Nothobranchius furzeri: one gene and its partners. The protein of the gene in region 2 purifies or fractionates together with the protein of the main gene of each other region. This does not show direct contact. Links are inferred from orthologs where the notes say so. Each region holds a gene or a part of one and is shown on either strand. Other genes may lie near its edges. The genes, in order: kmt2cb, ncoa6 and wdr5.

What was found.
Region 1: the proteins of ncoa6 (region 2) and kmt2cb purify together in Homo sapiens (co-immunoprecipitation; 7 studies listed by BioGRID and IntAct, with this or other methods). This does not show direct contact. The link is inferred for Nothobranchius furzeri from reciprocal best matches to the Homo sapiens genes NCOA6 and KMT2C.
Region 3: the proteins of ncoa6 (region 2) and wdr5 purify together in Homo sapiens (co-immunoprecipitation; 10 studies listed by BioGRID and IntAct, counting the BioPlex papers as one, with this or other methods). This does not show direct contact. The link is inferred for Nothobranchius furzeri from reciprocal best matches to the Homo sapiens genes NCOA6 and WDR5.

What each region holds. Positions count from the first base shown.
Region 1 is NC_091751.1:52,963,816-52,967,890, reverse strand, and holds the start of kmt2cb (histone-lysine N-methyltransferase 2C), read left to right. Parts: upstream 1-1,197; 5' UTR 1,198-1,218; intron 1,219-3,749; exon of another isoform or gene 3,750-3,976; intron 3,977-4,075. UniProt on the Homo sapiens protein: Histone methyltransferase that catalyzes methyl group transfer from S-adenosyl-L-methionine to the epsilon-amino group of 'Lys-4' of histone H3 (H3K4).
Region 2 is NC_091755.1:60,747,764-60,751,926, forward strand, and holds the start of ncoa6 (nuclear receptor coactivator 6), read left to right. Parts: upstream 1-1,300; 5' UTR 1,301-1,429; intron 1,430-2,832; 5' UTR 2,833-2,912; coding exon 2,913-3,156; intron 3,157-3,299; coding exon 3,300-3,455; intron 3,456-3,547; coding exon 3,548-3,670; intron 3,671-4,163. Other genes in the region: glutathione hydrolase 7, read left to right, coding at 1-2. UniProt on the Homo sapiens protein: Nuclear receptor coactivator that directly binds nuclear receptors and stimulates the transcriptional activities in a hormone-dependent fashion. Coactivates expression in an agonist- and AF2-dependent manner.
Region 3 is NC_091746.1:41,695,343-41,699,557, reverse strand, and holds the start of wdr5 (WD repeat-containing protein 5), read right to left. Parts: upstream 2,813-4,215; 5' UTR 2,626-2,812; intron 1,819-2,625; 5' UTR 1,793-1,818; coding exon 1,715-1,792; intron 1,529-1,714; coding exon 1,420-1,528; intron 1,014-1,419; coding exon 940-1,013; intron 389-939; coding exon 299-388; intron 1-298.

The DNA of each region.
Region 1 (4,075 bases), on a different chromosome or scaffold from region 2:
GTGCTCAGTGCAGATGACAAATGTTCTTTCATACTGAAATCTCCTAGAGTTATATGTCAAAGATTTGGTTTCAAACTAGAAAAATATAATGAATCTGCGTCTAAAGCGTTTTCGCTTTAATGTCATTTACCCAGTGTGTTGGTGCCAGGGGCGTGTCCAGAGAGTGGCCTGGATAGCACATGTCACCCTTGGAATATTATTGGCCACCCTGCTGAGTTCCATTAAAGATAACTACATCATCCACAAAAGGACAAGACCTGGACGTGCCACTGGTTCATTTTTGCAGGTGATTATTTTTAAAATGCATGAAAAATAAAAGCTTTCATTATTCAACATAAAAGAAACATGAGCTTTGATTTAAAAAAATATATTTTTATAGCATATTTACTCTGCAATGGGTCACCCACAGTTGCACTTAAGACATTTTTGAACTTATCCATATTATGATAAAATTTCCATTAGACATATTTTTTATCTTGTTCATTGTTATTATTAGTAGTAGTAGTGGTGGTGTTATATTATTATTATTATTATTATTATTATTATTATTATTATTATTAGTAGTAGTAGTAGAAGTAGTAGTAGTAGTAGTAGTAGTAGTAGTAGTAGTAGTAGCAGTAGCGGTTTTAGGCACGGGCAGACAGGGCAGTTGCCCGGGGCGGCATTTTTTCATGACACAAAAGGGGCGCACAAGCGCTGAGTAAAAAAAAAAGAAAAAAGAAACCTGCGCCGCACCGAGGTTTTCTATTATCTGTCATATGACAGTGTCTGGATTGGAAACAGCAAGTTGGCGCCCCCTGCAGCTGCAGGCGCTCCGTGCACCGTGTGTGTGTGTATGGAGAACAGGAAGGGGAGGGGTGCGGCGGGAGAATTCACCTCTGGGTGGGTCCAAATGAAATGAGCTAGGGGCTGAATCAACTGTATCAACATGTTTAAAGTCGATCACATCTTGATGTTCTTCCATATTTCATTCATAATATCATAAACACAGGCCTATCATTCTTTCAGGTGTTTCTGAATTGTGTGAAATGGCCAAATAAAAAAGGAAAAACAAAACGATTTTGTGTTCACCCCCCCATCAAGGTCAAATAGTTTAGTCCTGACTAAAGGAAACTTATTGAGTCAAGAGCCAAACAGAAGAGATGAACATAAAAAGGCTAAAACCACCAGGTGCCCGATTCAGGAAAAAAAAAAAGAAAAAAGAGGAGAAAGATAAAGGTATGTTCGCTCTCATGATGCATGTTTTCAATTTTTTGAACCAGTTAACTGGGATTTTAACGGTTAAATTTGGTCAACTAATTGCTAACAGAGCTAATAGGGCTGAAATATTTAAACGAATATTCAAATGGTTCGAAAAAATTCCTTGAATCGTTTTTACTGATTCAAACTAGGATTTGTTAAATGCTCACTGCAGCCTGTGGCCCGCCTGAACAACAATAAACACATGTTGATCATGTTCACATAATAATAAATAAAACAACTCTACAAGCAGAAGAGAACTCCCCAGTCACCACTAACTATCCTGTTTATTTATTGCAGATGGCTCTACTGATTATTTTTTACATGATTTGTTCTGTAAAAGTTGGCATTTTTGGTAGTCTACAGTTTTTTTATGTCAGTTTAAATTACAATTTCAGAGGCAATTGTAAAATATTATGGATCATGATAAAGATCTATTGGAGATCTACCCCAACTTTTGGACTGCTCTGCCAGTCACTGTGGCTCAAGCTGAGAGGAGCTTTTCAAAACTTGATCAAGTCATACCTGAGGTCACCTATGTTTCAGGGGCGGCTCATTCACCTGGCTCTGATTAGTATCAATCACTCAGTAGGGGAGCAGATTTCATGTGATGACATTATTGATGACTTTGCATCAAGGTTAGGTTTTAATTTTAGTTTGTGTTTTCTGTTCTAAGTGCAGTGCTGTATAGTGATTATCTTTAGTTTGTTATGTGTTAAATATTTTTGCTATTTAGAATATTTATTATATATTATGTGCATATATTCTTAATATTTAGTTAGTTTAGTTGTTTTTGTATATTTGATTCTATATATTTTGATACAGTGTATAATGTATAGTGCTTTACATTCTGACAACTTCATAGTAATTAATGTAAATATGTGCAACTTAGAAAAATGAATGTTCAATAGTCGTTCTAATAAAACCTGCCTGTTTGTAGAAAACGTGTGTTCGTGCAGGTGGGGCGGTGTGGTGGTGGTGGGGGCGGTTGGGGGGGGGCGCTCAAAGGGGGCCTCGCCCGGGGAGTAATTCCATGTAGAACCGCCACTGAGTAGTAGTAGTAGTAGTAGTGGTGTTTATTTATTCGTTTAAAATTTCGTAATCAAGTAAAAAGTCAATATTTTGCATTGGCCAGCAGGTGGCGCGCATAGCTTAGGAAAGAAGTGCCATGGTTCATGCAAAGAATCGTTGACGTTTACCTACATTATTATCATTAACACTAATAATGTGGGCGTCTCACGAAGGAAATAAATAAAATGTGATTGACTGAGTAATTGAAACGCAGAACTTGTGATAATACACAACATTTTTGTTTATTTCTCATGCATGTGCAGGCTGAAAGACAACCCCTGGGGACCTTTAGGAAAGTTAACCCCTGCATGTGCAGCGTGTCTGGCAGTATGCAGGTTCCTTAAAATGCAATGCCTGGTTTGCAAAGGTATTGTGTGTTGTTTGTGAGTGTACGTGCGCGCGCCCATGAGTTCACGTTTGTTGCTGTGGGGGGTAGGGGGGGAGTGGGAGGGGGAGGGGGGGGAGATAAAATGAGGACGCTGTGGTGTCCCTGCCAGCATGAGGTAACATTGCGCGAGGTCTAAAACACCACCACTAATGCCAACTATCAGTACTCATATTTTTTAAAGAAACCTGGAAAGCTGACAGTGAGTTTCTTTGCTTCTTTTGGGAAAACATTTGCATAAACTGGAGCGTTCATTGTTGACCGTTCCTCTCCAAAAACTCCAGAATCCGCCTTTTCGCACTTACCCTGGCCATTATTTTATTTACTAAATGCTCATATCAATCCGCAGGGTCAGAGAGTATTTTGAAGAAATCGTAAAACGACTTGGGTGCAATTTATTGATGCCTGTGTTTTATCCGTGCGCTTATATATTTGCCAAACTCTTGAAATACTAATTTTAAATAAACCACGACGATGTGAAAATACGTGTCTGCTGTAGTTCTGCTCGGACGAGGTGGATCTAGTTTTTTTAAGAGCCTAGGGGGAGGAGGGTCTGTGCTTCGGTGCCACTTATCATTAGATATGGCCACCGTTATAGAGTACGCCGAAGCGTCATCCTCAACTTAATTTTATGATTTTTCTCATATATTTTTCAGCTCACATCGTTCGGCGGACACACTGTTATTTTGGGCAAGCTAATGTTTGTTTCTACACGTTTTTGGAGCCGGTTGTTACTGCGTGGCAGGCTGGTTGCGAGAGTCTCCTAACTGGCCGCTTCTGCTTGTCGCAGCTGAAGAAAATAGAACCAGTTGCCAAGCCAGCGGTCGGAACCGAACGTTTCCTTCTCCTCGTCGTTACACGTTCCTCAAGAATTTGAAGTTTTATCCACCGATTGGTTGCTCTTCTTTTTTGACAGCCACATGTGTTTTGGCTCTTGTTTGTTTTCATGTTAATGATCAAATTTTTGGGTGGCTAACATCAACTAGCTGTGTTACCCGAACTCGACAGCTGTCATTGGAGAAAAAGGAAAGTGATCTCCGCAAATGCCAGTGAAGCGGTTTTCTTTTGGATTTACATCAACGGCTTTTCCATCAAATGGGCAAAGTTGGGAATATCATTGCAACGCTGGGATATAATGATATGCGCTGTGCATTTTTGAGAACTGCGGTCTTGTTTCATTGGAGAGAAGCTAGCTGCTAGCTGGCTGGTTGATAAAACGTTTCATCCCCCCATTATTTTGGGACATGAAGAGGACAATTCGCTGTCCATAGGGCTGGGAAGGTAATATACAATGTCAACTTTCATTTCTTTTCATGCAAGCTTAGATTTAGCCTGACATTGGCCTTTTTAGAGAGTCAGAGCCAACACTATCTTCCATTC
Region 2 (4,163 bases):
AGTGCATCCATCACTTTTTCCAGTATTCACTCACATTACAGCAGGGATCAAACTCGTAGGATACTAGTGAAAGAAGAAAAGGTGGAATAAAAATGATCAAACTACTACAGTCATCAAAATCTCACAGCAAACTGCCATTTAAATAAAAATCCACTTAGCTTTCTGTGAGTTCACCTCACATCTGTTTGCTCGAGTCACACGGTACAAGGTTTTCAAAGTAAAAGCCCACCCAGCAGTGGCACTAAAGTTAGCTGCAAATGAAATAATGTAATTGCTGAACTTATGAGAGGAATGTTTGAGAGTATTTTCTCTATCACTGTTTAGTCAGAATTTCAGAGGTAAATTATTGAGCAATAAATGAAATCATAAACCAATAATGTAAAATGTACAAAAAAATGCATAGTGTGCAGTACATGCATTAACAGTCAACTTATTTTTTAATGTTTTTTGTCAATTATTCCAAATATTACCAAGGATGTTGCTAGATGACAAGTGAAGAGACTTGCTTTGTCTTTGTCTAACTGTCCTTCCCTTGCTTGTAGTGTGGCATGTAACTGTGATTATGTTGTCTTGCACAGCTGCTGGAGTTTTACCTTCTTTTTGAGAACATGTTAGGTGATAACATACCCAGACAGAGATGTTTAACAGGAATGTGATTTCCACATCTTGGTTTACTACTTTTACTGAGATGGTTTTATTGATTTTAAAGTATTTCTTATATTGTTACTGTTCTTTTTGCATTCTTAATATAGTTTTAGTGGTTTATTTGCTGCTTTTCTTGAAAATCATTAGAATTATTTGAGAGAGGGTCACCCTTGTTCTCTGAATGGGAATTAAAACAGTTTAATGTAAAATCAATTTTTACATCACTGTTTGACTGTAGATGTTTTTATTCCTAAAATCTATATTCAGCCTGGAACTCTTCGGGATGGGTGTCATGTGTTTTTGGTGCAATTAAGCGGAATAATAGAAGTAAAATCGAACACGTTTTTCTCTCACACTAAATTGATCAAATAGGTTTCTAATCTTAGAGTCTTGTCTTGTGTACTGTTAATGCACACATTTGCACACCTGATGTTTGATTATTTTGTGTTTATAATTGAAGGAAAAATCGGTTTTGTTCAAATTTGTGAAATAAAAATGTTTGCACATACCCACATAAGCAGTGTTCCGCAATTTGTCATCATACTTGCATTTAATACAATTTGAAAAATAGATAAAACAGCTCAGTTTATTCAGGACTATTTAGGAAATAGTCATGAACTTGTTAACCTAAGGAGTGCGTTTACCTTTTGAGCTTTTATTTTGAAAAAGAAAACCGGAAACAACCTTTGTTAGTTAGCTTGCTTATGACATTCATCCTATTTTGTTAGCCTGTCTAGCAAACAGATGTCGACTAGTTGAACGTATTCGTATATGGATATGTTTGGTAAGGTCTTTGTATATTCCTTTCTCCTTGTTTTTATTAACGAAAACTGTTGAAAGGCAAATTAAACCAGCTACGGTTCGCTGCTTGGATTCATTCGCGTCTGGAGACTGACATCTAGCTACATAGCTAACTGATGCTAACAGGATTTTTCGGAAAACCAATAGGAACCACTTTCAATTTCACTCTTTCTGTGTGCTGCTAAAACGTATACATTTGAAATGTAAGTGTTAATTGCACCACGATGAAAATGCACAATTTGGTAAGAAACAGAGTTTACTTGTGGATTTTGTTTGAATGTTAGCTTACTGCGTTAAGGCCCACACTCCTGCAGCGCCGGTGACTGAAACCAGGATGATCATCATTATAAAAATATATTATATTATTACTAACAAGTTTAACTCCCATATCAAGAAATCTCACAACTCTGAAAGTAATGTGACTACCAATCAGAGCACCTCTGCTTAATAAGCTAATCACCGGTCAGTGATGTCACCTCCAGGTGTCTGCTTCATTGAGTTACAAACTCATTTATTTGCTTCTTTTTCTGGTTTGCAAATAGAAATTATGACTTTTTTTGCTTGTCTTTGTTTTACTCGAATCGAATGTTATATAGAATACTCTTCAGCCTCTAGCAACTTACTATAACTGTTGTTTCTTGGCTGTGTTCAGGGTTTCTAAAACAATTAAAGAGCAAGTCACCCCCTACAAGAAACTTATTTCACTCCCTCTTCATGTTTGAAAAATGCAACAAATGCTGTTGCCTAGCAGACCGAGAGGGCGGAGCCACTAACAAATACACACACACACACACACAGGCTCACAACGGCACTGTGACATCATAATGTACCAGTTTACATCATAGCATACCTCTTAGCCAATAGCGGTGGCAGATTTAAATTCAAATGCAGTGCAGAGTTTTTACCTGACAACGGCGCAACATTGACAGTTTTAGGCAGAATATTTCAATTTTAACTAAGATGCACTGAAGTACCAAATTATTGACTACACGTGTCTGCAGCACATTTAGACACACATTTATATAGTTTATCAGCAAAAAAAAAAGTAGATTTGGGGGTGACTTGCTCTTTAAGAACTGTCGAAGGTCTCAATATATTAATGGGAAATTAAAAATATTCTAAGATGAGCTGTTATGTTCCCAAAACTTTCCATTTTAAATGCATTCTACGAAATTGTAGAAAATTGGGAACCCATAGCGTAAGCAGCTTTTTACTTTAAGCTGAAACAGTTTATAGAAAAAGCATAATTTATCAAATAATTATTAAATTAATCAATACCATAGACTTTTCTGGGCAGTACATACATTTGAGATAGGCAAAGTATGGAATAATAGTATTTGATAAGAAAATGCTGTAATCTAAAGTTTGAATAATCTGTAATTACAGCATAAAACGGTTTAGACACCACTCCTAACAAGGAAGGGAGGATAGCTGCTGAACATTCCTCATCCCAGAAGACTGCGTACATGGAGCCTGATGGTGAATCGGACAGAGACTCTGGTGTTGGAGAAGATTCTGGAGAAGACGCAGATAGCTCTGAGAAATGCAACGTAACAGAAGAAGTTGGACCCATGGAGCAAGAAGACACTAGAGAAAATGGAGAGGAGGACTTCACAGTCTTTGTTGCCTTTCAAGGAAACATGGATGATGAGAACTTCACTCAAAAACTAGAAACTATCCTCAATGGGATACCTGATGTTCTTAATTTGGGTTTGTGTTTATTTTTATTCAATTTGTTTTGTTACTTTGTTTTATTTGAGCTCATTTACGTGTATTTGATTCAAAAATATATATCTTGCACTGACCTGTTAAGCATTTTCCAACCAACACTAACTAAATACACTTTATTTTAGGCCCAGAACGGCTGCAGCCTAAACATGTTGAGCCGTGGAACAGTGTCCGTGTCACATTCAACATTCCCCGGGATGCTGCTGAGCGACTCCGGTTGTTGGCCCAAAACAACCAGCAGCAGCTCAGAGACCTGGGTATTCTCTCTGTGCAAATAGAAGGTAATAGCTCAGTCCAAAAAGAATTCATGCAGATCTCCTCCTTTTGTCTTCATAAAAATTCATTTATGCAATGATTTAATCTTGGTGTTCAGGAGAGGGAGCAATTAATGTGGCTGTGGGACCAAACAGAGGACAAGAAGTCAGAGTGAATGGACCAATTGGTGCACCTGGTCAGATGAGAATGGATGGTGGCTTTCCAGGTCAGCCTGGCCCAGGTAAGTTTTTCCAAAAGTTTAACAAAAAAATTAACAGTACTCTAGTCTACTAGTAGAGATTTTGGCTTTACTGTCCAAACGTGATCACACATGAATGCTGTCGAAAGCAGCAGCAGCTTCAGCGCAGAGCAAGTTGATGAGAAGACGAAGACATAATTTATACTGGCCTGGTTTAGGTTTAAGGAGTCTGATGCTGAGCAGAAAAACATCCTCTGTAAAATATTCTGGGCGACAGTGAAGTCATATCAACGCTTGTTAACGCTAACGCTAATTCCCTTATATGCCATTAGCTTCTAACATATTATTAACACGCAGGTTTCCAAACTTTCATCACAGTAAGCTTGTATTTTATTTTAAAATTTCTTCATCTTTATTTGGTTCATGTGAATTTTTGTGTTGCATTGTTTCTAACAATGTTTAACATAAATATTACTTGATATTTTGTATTTTTTTAATTAGTTTTGAACATTAAATGTTATTTAAATGGTATTCT
Region 3 (4,215 bases), on a different chromosome or scaffold from region 2:
TTGCTAATGCTAACGGTTAGCTTCTACCAGCCGAGATGTTCTATGCTGTTTTCTGGACGCTAAACCAACAATAGCCGTCCTCGTCATGAGCCAAGATGGGTGAGCCCATGAATGTTTAGTGACAGTGTAACGTGGATCTGTCAGGATTTTCTAACCCTAGACTTTCACCATCTATTTTCTAGCTAATCCAGAAGATAGGAGACTTTTGTCATGTTCAGCCTGCATGAAAAACCTCAGAGTAACTAAAATAATCATTAAAAAAGGTTTTTCAATGAACCACACCTTAAAACATTCTTACCGAGTTAACGTCCCAGATCTTCAGAGTTTTGTCATCCGACGCAGAAACAAGAAGGTTGGAGTCAGATGACCAGGCCACATCAGATATTCCCTGGAAAATAAAGAAATTCTAAGATCTCAAGGCTTCAAGGACATAAAATGATACAAGAGTAAACAATGGAGTCATTTCTCATGTTTATCTTCTAAAAATGTAAATACAATCTTGTTCTTGCTTTGAACGACCAAACAGATCAGACTCAAAGTTTTTATTATTCACTGCATGTGAATACCCTCTGCTGCTGCATGGCACTCAAATGGTGTGTTTGGAATAACAGAAGAAAAAAAGAACAGATATAAATATATAAACAGAAGTACATGTTTACTAGATATGTAGCAGCAGTAAATGTATTCACTTTATATTAGACTTATTGCACTGGTGACTGAGGTTTTTGCTCTAATGCGCATGAGAGGGTTTTAGTACATTTAGTTTACTGCTGTGGGGAAGGGGATTGTTTGCACCAACTGGACGGCAAGAGTCCAAAACAGTAATGACCAGGGTGGGAGGAGTCTTTGATGTTTTAGTAAAAGCGGTGAAACTCTACCTAATACAGTCCTGCAGGCAGAAACACAACAGTGCCACAGGTAAGGGTCCCTTCTACTCACAAGTTTGTGTCCAGAAATGGTTTTCTCAAACTTGCCATCATAAGCGCCCCAGATTTTGATGAGTTTATCAGCAGCTGTAACACAAACAATGAAAAAGACATCATGAAAAAGAGAAAAAAAATGACTGAAAAGTTGCAAAATGGTAAAAAATATATAATTTCCCCATTTCAATCATTTCAGCTGATCAGATATTCAAATGAAACGAGTGTACCCAAAGATAAATACTAAAACCAATAAAAATTTCACAATTGCATAAGAATATTTAGTCACTAAAGCACTGCTATTATTGTTATTTACATTTAACTTAGAGCACAAAATACACTTCATCTATGCAGTACAAGTGTTTTATCAAACTTTAAAAAAAGCTCTGGATCAAACATAGTTTCACAAAACCCAATACATTTTATTATGGAATGAAAGAAGATTTATGTTGAGGTAGCTGAGATTTAAACAAGATATGATTCAAAATGAGATGCTTACACGAGCTGGCGAGCCATTCTCCACTTGGACTGAATTTAACCGAGGACACAGCCTTAGTGTGTCCCGCTAGTGTGAATTTCAAACTGTAGTTTGGTTTTGCAGGTGCAGTCTGCAAAAGAAAACCAGTTCTAATTTAGCAAATGAATAAACATGATGAAATACTTTCAATAAAGAAAGAAAAAATCCGAAATAATGCTGGAATATTGACAGTCCTTAACAAAAACTTAGAATTAAACTATCATAAGAGGACAGGGTGGGAGATTACAGGCAATGCCAAAACTTGGGTTTGTCAGACCTTGCTTTGGCTAGCAGAGGCTGATGGGACAACTGGAGGCTTGGTGTCAGTCTCTGGTTTCTTGTCCTCTGTTGCCATGGTGAGGAAATCAGCATCTATTGCACCTGAGACAAAAGAAGAAACCATAAAAAAAGTTAATAAATCAGGCAAGTTAAACCTAAAGATTAAACAACTGGGATAAGTTATTGGGTGGAAATTTTACAATTTCTAACACCCGGAATTTTAAAGTTTGGAGAAATAAGATAAACCCTCCAGCTCGATGACTGCTAATAACCACCATTAAGGTAAACGTGATTAAAAACTATTGTTTTATCTGTTAGCATTAGCTTCCTTTACTGTGATCTAAAATAAACAGTGGGGTTTACTTTAAATAAGATAAATTAAGTATATATCATGTAAATTTTACTTTAATTAGGCTTATTAATAGGCTGTGATGCTCAAAAGTATTTAAATGCCCGTTTAGGGTCCGTTTAGCTATAAAATTAGCTAATGCAGCTAGCTGAAGTTAGCTAACGTTAAATTGCTCTTACTATGAAAACCGATTGAGGCCAACCCCCTTGTCCGGTTACCGTTTACCATCTTGTGTTGCCTTCAAATGCATTGACACCAGCTCGTTTTTGCTTCGAATTATTATTTATGCGAAAAATAAAAGCAAACAAAGGGAGAACGAGTACGTTCGCTGTAAAGTTCAACACCTGAATATACTTGGGTTACCTTCGAACAAAACAACGTGAAGATCTATAGATTAGAGGCTGTCTCGCGGAATAAAATGTATTTTGGCATGAACGCCACAGTTATATGAAGAAGCTAATCGCAGTTTTGACATGCAGTTGATGCTGTTGACAAGTTATGCAGCCACGAAGGGGGCCTCCATTGAAACAATGAAGATTCGGTTTTACACCGATACTTACGTTGATCAATTTAGATCTACAGTCAGACTGGTACTCCTTGCAAATCCTGGAAATCTAAAACAGTCCGTATAATAACTAAAGAGAGATAGAACAAAGAACAAATCAAGCTATTTGCTTGAGGATGTTTGCCTGGTAAAGGAACGAGCTGCGAGGTGAAGCGGGGAATGTGCTTACAGTTTGCGCAGGCGCATGACGTTCAAAAGTGACGGGAACTAATGAGGGACAATTATGAAAAAATCGTTTCGACTGCCGTTTGAAAAGAGCCCAATAGTTTTAATTAATCTTATTTATTACAAGTTTGTATTTTTTAAATTTAAAATGACAAAAATTCTCAACAGAGAATTTGTAGAAGTACATTATGTGAAATACTTCATCTAAATTTCAATGAAAGGCAGTAGCCATTTAAAAACCAGGCTGTGGCTGTCAGAGTCAATCAATATGCAAAAAGGAAAAGTCTACATGAAACAGAAACAAACACACAGCAAACAAAAATCTAAATAAAACAAACAAATTACATATCTTTAATACGTCGTAACCTTATTTTATGCTTTATGTAGTTATGAACTACTGACTGTGATATTTTCATAGTAAATCACTTGCATTTATTTATATAACCCTAACCATTTACTTTTTAGCTCAATACTTTCCACAATTATAAATATGATTTTGTGAAATGCAGATTTCACACTTTTACCATAAATCAGCTGTGAACGCGCTTTGGATTCTCCGGCTCAACAGATGGCGCTATGAGCACCAGACCTGTCCCTTCAGCCGTGGCTGCAATAGGTCGGGGAAGAAGTTTCTAGTTCTTTTTGAACACACTGCACTCTGGTGTTCACTAGTTTGTTTTGGCTTCGGTGAGCTTTCTTCCAAGCCGTGCAGCGTCAAGCTCCCATGTCAACACGCCCTCTTAAATGAGTTGGTAAACACTTCTGTTGTTATTTTCTTATTTTTACTCATTACTTAGCGGTTAGCCTCCTCCATAACAACAATAGGTGTTTAAAGAAGCGGACTTCTTCGCTTCGTTATATGATAATTTAATTCAAGCTTATTTATTGGCGCTACATTTTGCCCCAAATTAAAGCAAACGTTACTTAACCAAAACCTGTAGTTGGTATTTCGAAACTTATATCAACAGTCGGTGTCACAAAGTGTGTTGTCATCCGCTGCAGTGTCCCTTACCAAACCAGCTAGCTAACTTTATGCTAACGAACATCGTGCATACTTGTGTTTTTATTTCACGATAAGTATTTGAAACGTTTTAAAGCCAATCATGTCGCTTTGTCCAAACCTACATTTTAATACATTTTGAGTAAAACCATCTCGCTTATTTAGTCATTTAGTCTCATTCGTACATTACGCCACGTTTTTCACTGTAAACGAAAAGTATTTGACGATATCTTCTGCGTCACCGCTTATGAAAAGCTTTTACAAGTTATTTCGGGAATCTGAAATCATGTTGACAAATGTCTTCTAACTTTAAACTGAGCTTTGTCTCGTGTTCTGTTCTTGTGGCTAACGTGCACGTTGTCACGTCCGCCAGATTTTTTTTCTATAAATATTTTGAACGTGCACGTTGGTTACGAGTCT